2 linked regions of the Drosophila melanogaster genome follow. The protein of the gene in region 1 interacts with the protein of each later gene in a biochemical or structural test. Each region holds a gene or a part of one and is shown on either strand. Other genes may lie near its edges.

Region 1 (3,924 bases):
TTTTTGTCCACATTACTCGCTGTAAGCAGCAGCAGCAACCGCCAGTGGGAGTCTCGAAATTGACCAACCAAATATGATAATGATACTAATCCATTGTTAATCCGCAGCTTCAATCCGCCAGCTGCGGGCAACTCGGCGCAGAGTTCCCAGACGGCTCGCCGCAAAATCCGCGCCCCCGTACGCCGTTTGCCGCCCCGGTAGAAATGGCATCGCAGTCGGCCATCACGATAGCAAATGAGGCCGCCGTCGGATTAGGATTAAGATATTGGCAGCCATTGCCGAGAGTAACAGAATCAGCAGTAGCAGCAAAAGCATCAAGGGCCGAAAAGGAAAAGCAAGACACAGAAGACGCCGGCAACAATAGTGGGCTCAAAGGTTCGGTCCAGAGCCAATATCACCAGGAGCCAGATATTCAAGGATCATCGAGGATAAACATGCAGTCACCAAAGTCGCCATGTGTGAACAAATACCGCTTCGTACGCCGCCACAGCCTGAACTCTGAAACCAGGAAACCCTTTAGCAGGAATATTTGGCAGAATACAACAGGAGAAGGCAATGAAACCAATGGCGACGATGTCCCTAAAACACCAACAACTGGCGACCAGGAGGACAACCAACAGGAGGAACGAGATTCAGCGGTATATACATCAACAGAACGAACTGTACTAGTAAGGACCCAATTCAAGATAGTGCGGCAAAGGAGCGTCATCTCGAAACCGAGACAGAAGCCTCCGACTTACTCTTAAAAAGCTAAGGAATAGGTTCGTTCCACATCCTTCTCTGCTCTCCGATGATTGGGAGATGACCACGCGAATGTCGCTCATACTACGCATATTGATGATTACAAATTATAAAAACACTTCGTTGGATTTACGCGAGAATTCATCGCACCAAAAAAAAAACGAAAATGAATATATTTTAACGTTATTTTTGTTGAATATATAATATACCTTAACGATAATTATGTAATAATTATTTTGCGAAATAGTAAAGAAACGTGTAATGCTGCAATCAAACAGAGATGCGAGGCCATGTAATAGCGCAAAAAATCAACTACTGTATAATGTAGTAATACGTATATTCGAGTTATTGGCCGATACGTCGAGCATATGATGATTGCAGTCAGATAAGAGCGATCGGCAAACGATTGCATTAAGTCTTTAGTTTTTGTTATTAATTTTAGCGTTTAGATTCACACACACACAATTCACACGAGGAAAATACCTGCAACGACGTTCTGTGCAGCAGCCAAGGTGGAAAGCCAACAAATTAAAGAAAAACAACTATCTAGCAACGTAAAGAAACCAACCAACCCTATAGCTAACAAGATAACAGATTAGATGAAAAGATTAGAGAGAATGGTGGCAAACTGGAAAACCGAAAGAGTTATAATTGTATGCATGTTTTTTATATACATAAATTCATAAAGAACATTTAATATTTTATTTTAAGTTTATATTGATCATTTTTAAGTCGAGAACAGAAATGGAAATCAGAAGTCTATGTTGAGAGAGAAACGGTATCATAATGTAAATAAGTAAATATATGCGGTATGATAATTTAAACATTGTGCTCTTTACTTGGGTTTTCAACTGGAATTGCAATGAAATTCTATAACGAATATTTGGTGTCTTAAAGTACATATCTTACTTTGAATGGTAATTGTTTTCAGCGCGAATACTTTACAAACATTTGAATTTCGAAAAGCCAGTTGACCACAGGCGAACTCACCATGCCACGGCAACGGTCACACTGCCGCCATTGCGATAGACATCGATAGCCGTTCCAGCACTAATACTCACGATAAACACCACCTCTATTTCTGGCATCGGCAATTATTTCCCTAGGTTTATTATTTTTTTGTTAAGCGAATTGCTTGTGCGCTCGTGCTGTCGCCATAATGTGTGCAATGTGTGCCAGCCAGAGGAGCAAGTGGTGAAGGTGTATCGCTTGTGCGCATCTCGATTTGTCCATCCATATCCAATTGAATCCCAGTTTCCCAGTCGCGTCCGCTGCTATGCGTGTGTGTGTGCGTGCGTGCCCGTGTCCCTGCATGTGTGTGTGTGAGTGAGATCGGGAAGAAGTTGTGTGCTGTTGTTGTTGTTGTTTCTGTCGGATTTGCCGTTGCCATCGTTTGTTGTTTGTGCATTTTCCATTGTCGGGCGACGCAACAAAAAGAAAAAAATTACACATTAAAAATAGAGAGCAAGAGCGAGAGGGAAGGAGTGGTGTGGAGTGGAAAAGGGCGGTAAAAGGGCAGAAATTTGGAGCACGGGAAATCCGAGTCGCTGAAGATGTTCTCGAAGAAGAAAAAGAAACCGCTGATCTCGATGCCCAGCAATTTTGAGCATCGTGTGCACACGGGCTTCGACAAGCGGGAGAACAAATATGTTGGCCTGCCCCTCCAATGGGCGTCCATTGTGGGCAACAATCAGATACTCAAGTCCTCCAACCGCCCGCTGCCACTGGTCGATCCCTCGGAGATTACGCCCACCGAGATTCTCGATCTGAAGACTATTGTGCGTCCGCATCACAACAACAACAAGGCGGACACCACCTCGCTCAACAGCAGCAGCACAATGATGATGGGCTCAATGGCGCCGATGAATCCCATGGCACCTGGCGCACACCCAATGATGAGCCATGGCCCCGGAATGATGATGCCACCCGAGACGGGCGGCATAGTCCTGCCGAAGACCTCTCACGTGGCCAGATCCAATTCGCTGCGGAGTTCCAGTCCGCCGCGAGTGCGACGGGTAGCCAATGTGCCGCCATCGGTGCCGGAGGAGGAGGGACCACCGGCAGCTGGAACACCGGGAGTAGGTGGAGCTAGTAGCGGTGGCTTTAAGCCACCCGGTGCCCATCCCTCCCTGCTCTATAACAGTCAGCATGCGCACGCGAATGGAGCAACAGGACCACTGGCCGTGCGCACGGATCAAACCAACCTGCAGCAGTATCGCAGCAATCTGGCCCCGCCATCCGGCGGCTCCATGCCCCAGCAACAGCAGACTTCGCCCGTGGGTTCGGTGGCCAGTGGCACGCGATCCAATCACTCGCACACGAACAATGGCAACAGCGGCGGCAGCTATCCTCCCATGTATCCCACAAGCCATCAGCAGCAGCAGCAGCAGCAACAGCAGGCCAAACAGGGTGGCGATCAGAACCAAAATCCTCTGCATCCGCATGCTCATCCGCATCCGCACCATCACCAACATTTGGCCAAGTCGGCGTCCAGGGCATCCAGTTCCAGCGGGGGAGCGAGCAGTGCTGCCCAGCAGGCGAGCGGCGCCAGTGGAGGAGCGGCGGGTCAGCCAAAGCAGGACCAACGACTCACCCACGAACAGTTCCGTGCCGCCCTTCAGATGGTGGTCTCCGCCGGTGATCCACGCGAGAACCTCGACCACTTTAACAAAATAGGCGAGGGCTCCACGGGCACCGTATGCATTGCCACGGACAAATCCACAGGCAAGAACATCCGCTTTAACTATTGTCAAAACCATTGAATTAATGGCATTTGGTTTTCTCATTACGTACAGGTCGCCAGGTGGCCGTGAAGAAGATGGATCTGCGCAAACAGCAGCGACGGGAGCTGCTATTCAACGAGGTCGTCATCATGCGGGACTACCATCATCCCAATATCGTGGAGACATACTCCAGCTTTCTGGTCAACGATGAGCTTTGGGTGGTGATGGAGTACCTCGAGGGCGGCGCCCTCACCGATATTGTCACCCATTCGCGCATGGACGAGGAGCAGATAGCCACCGTCTGCAAGCAATGCTTGAAGGCTTTGGCCTATTTGCACTCACAGGTGCGTGACCAGCATGACACTGCCCCTTTCCTGTCCCCGTTCCCATTACCATTCCCTTGGCCAAACTGGGCAGCAGAGAACGGAGTACTCGCCATCATGCGATTCTTTGTGCCTTT
Region 2 (3,882 bases), on another chromosome or scaffold:
TGGGCGGCGGTGCCGGCGGCCAAGAGAATCTGCTGCTGCTGCGCCGGCGACCAGGCGATGTTCACCGTCTTTTGCAGTTCCTTGATCTTCATCTTGCAATGTCCCTTCGTGCTGCTCGTGTAAATAAAGCGAAAAAACACAAATATTATGGGAGGTACAAGTTCAGAACGAAATTGTGTCACGTCCAATTGGAGTAAGCCCCGTCATCACTTTTCCCATTGGCTTCCCCATTGCAGATGTGGCCCAGTAGTGCCCGCCGGCCTTTAAGTATCTTTAATTATGCTAATTGCGCAACTTACACACAATTGTGAATGCAATTTGTACTCGCTTGCGCTGCAACGAGACTTTTTGATCTTGAATTTAACTGGAATCGTTAATATTTTTAAGAACCGTAGGAACGGCCAGTGTGACCGTGCTCTGAGCCAACGTAATATACCACAGGGCACGCACTGAAATACCAAATGCGTGCGACCAGAATATACTGCGAGTTTAACGGTATGCAATTTAAATATTCCGTTTCAATGTGCAATTTTAAAAATAGTTTTTATCAGTATACATTATTAAAAATGATAGTCGAAATTATTTAAAGATTTATTTTCCATCGCATTTTATATTCGTAAACTAGCTTCAGCACTTTTAATATTAATATTTATTATGAACTCATTTTAAATTCCAGATCACTTTGCATTTATTTTTTGACTGGAACTGGACTCGAATGTAGATCTCTTTATTATAGGTATCTTTCATAAATATAAGCTATGTTTATTTAATACGCATGGTATGCATCCACTCATTTGGCAGACGATATGGCCGCCACACGCTGCTCCACCTTGGCCACCTTGCTGTTGATAGTCTCCAGATTCTGGGCGAAAGTCTCCTGTACGGAATGCAGCAGCTCCTTGTTGTTCACCAAGCTAGTGGTGATGGTTCCCTGCTTCTGCTCAATCTCTGCGATGATCTTGGCGAAATTGTTTGCTGCAGAGCAAGTTGATTAGTTACAGAAACAAGCACAATGCTAAAATGCTAAATAGAATTGCTTACCATATTTATGGAGGGCCTCGAGGGCTTGCATGCGTTCGATGACGTGCGGCAGTATTTCCACCACTGGCTCCGTGCGCTTCGCGATGTCGTATAGTTCCGTAATCTTCTGATCTCGTTTGGCGTCCTGGGCACTGCCGCTGGACTTTTCGGCGATAGCATCCATCTTGCCGGCCAGCGAGGTCAGGCGCTGCTCGATGGTGTCCAGTTTATCAGGCTGTATCAGGGCCGCCTTGGTGCTTAGATGACGCACTGCCTCTAGTACATTGGTGGTGTTGGTGGCGGCGGTAAGGCGGCTCAACTTGTCCGGCTGAGCGCCCAGCACCTTCTCCAGCTGCGAGATTCGCTGCTCTAGACTGGCTACGCGGGCCGTGGCCGCCAGATCGGTGCCAGGCGTGGGTATGGCTGTGAGAACGCCGGACTGCTTGAACTCCTCCACCTGGCTAATGAGTGCTTTCACCTGCTTACTTCCAGGCGTCTGCTCCTTGCCCAGCACTTGCTCCAGCTTCAGCGACTCCAGCACCTTTCGGGCCGTGCTGATAACCGTGGCCACCGCATCGTACGACTGCTTCTCCTCGTCGGCTACCTTGCGGTCCACCTGCAAGGCGGCCACCTCGTTCAGAAGCTCGTTCATCTCGATCTGCAGGCGCTGGCACTTCTGCACCGGCGTCTCCTTCTCGCCCTGGCCAACCAGCTCGTAGTCGCTGGAGCCGCGCGTATCGTAACCCCGGCACATGCGTCGTCCAATGCGATCCGTGAAGTCCACACTCCCCTCGACCGTTGCTCCGCTGAAGCGCTTGTGAGCGACGCTCGGCGAGATGTGCAGTCGCTCGATGGCTTCGTTCTCCGGCTCCTCTTCGTAGTAGTCGGATGTATCGAGCTCCGGGTCATCTGGAGTTTCGTACACGTCCGGCTGGTCATAAGCCTAAAAACATAAAGTACATATATGTATAAATGGGCAAAAACGAAAGCTTAAACGTCACTGCCATGGTGCGGAGTTCCGACTTACTATTCCCGGTAGGTTCTGGAACTTGGGATCGGCCATTATTGTGGGCACGTCGACGGCGGTGTTTGGAATCCTTTGGCAACGAAATAATTATAAACCTTCAAAAATCCTTTTTTACAACAATCAATTCGATCTGATGTCATAAAAAAAGTTACCGTGCGCGGTTACCAAACAAATGCCAAAGTGCAGTTGTCATTGGAGTATTTATAAACAGAGGTATCTAAAAAGTCATTTAAAAAAGACAGTTATTACTTGTAACGGCTAATAAGCTAAGAGTAAATAGTATTGCAAAATATATCATCGATATAAATAAATTGTACTTGCACATTGTACTTTGTTAACTGGATTCATAGATGCAAACATTTATAAAAATAAATTAAAGCTTTTTGTGCTAATTTAAACCTATTTTGATTTTAGGAAAAACGATATACATTTAAAATCATTCATAAGCAATAGGTAAATAATTCCATGATCGACTTCCAATTGGTAAATCAATGAAGGTACACTTTTCTTCTGGTATTTTATAGACCAGTGAGGATAGAAAAAAGGCACGGTCCTACTGTACCTAGCACAGGTACTAAGTTAGTCAACACTGTAGTTTTCGTGTAGTTTGCGGGCGAAGCGAGTGGGCGGTGGGAGCTGCTAGTTGGTTGTACTAATCTTAATATTTTGCATCCGAAAACAATAGAGTAATGTCTGGCTTAGAGTACGGGTTGCATAGATACGATGATCTGCCGCTGGAGGTGAGCATATAATGTGAACGGACTGCCGCGGTCCCGTGACCAATCCATCATTTCGAGCGTATCTATATCTGCATATTCATATACCTGTTAGGGCAGTCAGCTGATTTTGTTTTTTTCTGTTCCGCCCCCAGATTGTTTTGAAGATTTTCAGCTATCTCGGCTACTCGGACTTACAAGCGGCAGGATCCACCTGCCAGCGATGGCATGCGGCGCTGGATCAGGCGGAATTTAACCAGCGCACGCGAGTCTGCTTCTCCAAGGTGGTGCTATCGGATCAATTGAGTCCTGGAGTGGATCTGATGCGCTGCGAGCGGCGTTTCCAGCACTTCCTGTTCGAGGACGTGACACTGGGACAAGTAAAGGAATTGATGCGCTTCATGGGCAGGACCGCTCAGTCCCTGGCTCTGGACAATGTGGATTTGAATGACAAACAGTTCTACGGCATGCTGGGCGTGCTGCCCCATCTCCACTCGCTGTCGCTGAAGCGCTGTCTGCCGCTGTTCATGTCCGGCTCTTTCCTGGACTCTTACAACAACTCCTGTCCTGACCTAAACGACCTGGCAAGCAATCTGGCCGGCATCAAGGAGCTGACGCTGTGCGAGAACCAATACCTCACGGATGCCATTCTTATGCGTCTCACATCGTTCATGCCCAGTCTGGAAGCGATTAACATGTCCGGCTGTCACATAGCCTTTCACAATGCTATTCATCGCAGATTTTACCCTGCCACCAGCTCCTCGGATCACGTTTTGCCCAGCGAGTCTGTGCTCACGTTCAAGTTCATCCTCACCATTCTGAACCTGCAGCGACGTACGTTGCGCGTGTTGAACTTTAGCCACACCCTAATTGGCCAGGCTTTGTTGGCCCTTTGCGACCTCAATCTCCAACTGCAGCGCCTCTATTTGGCCGGATGCAGACAGCTTAACTGCACCACAATCCTGAACTTTCTAGCCACACAGCCCCAGTTGTGTGCCCTCGATTTGTCGGCCACAATGTGTGTTAACGATGAAAATCTGGCCGCCTTGGTACAAACTAATCCGCAGCTGGAGCACTTGAAGGTGAACGGCTGCCTGAGCATTACAAATGCTGGTGCCA

The links.
Region 2: of the proteins of mbt (region 1) and DCTN2-p50, one has a biochemical effect on the other in vitro, tested with the Drosophila melanogaster proteins (one study listed by BioGRID).

What each region holds. Positions count from the first base shown.
Region 1 is NC_004354.4:16,608,898-16,612,821, forward strand, and holds the start of mbt (mushroom bodies tiny), read left to right. Parts: upstream 1-1,787; 5' UTR 1,788-2,294; coding exon 2,295-3,465; intron 3,466-3,536; coding exon 3,537-3,808; intron 3,809-3,879; exon of another isoform or gene 3,880-3,924. Other genes in the region: Nup153 (nucleoporin 153kD), read left to right, coding at 108-201. UniProt on the Drosophila melanogaster protein: Involved in neurogenesis of the adult central nervous system, and together with Cdc42, regulates photoreceptor cell morphogenesis. Phosphorylates exogenous substrates when activated by Cdc42.
Region 2 is NT_033778.4:8,890,155-8,894,036, reverse strand, and holds DCTN2-p50 (dynactin 2, p50 subunit), read right to left. Parts: upstream 2,206-3,882; 5' UTR 2,084-2,205; coding exon 2,048-2,083; intron 1,964-2,047; coding exon 1,042-1,963; intron 976-1,041; coding exon 791-975; 3' UTR 698-790; downstream 1-697. Other genes in the region: Sec31 (secretory 31), read right to left, coding at 1-92; CG8272 (uncharacterized protein), read left to right, coding at 2,737-2,787, 2,919-3,882. UniProt on the Drosophila melanogaster protein: Modulates cytoplasmic dynein binding to an organelle, and plays a role in prometaphase chromosome alignment and spindle organization during mitosis. May play a role in synapse formation during brain development.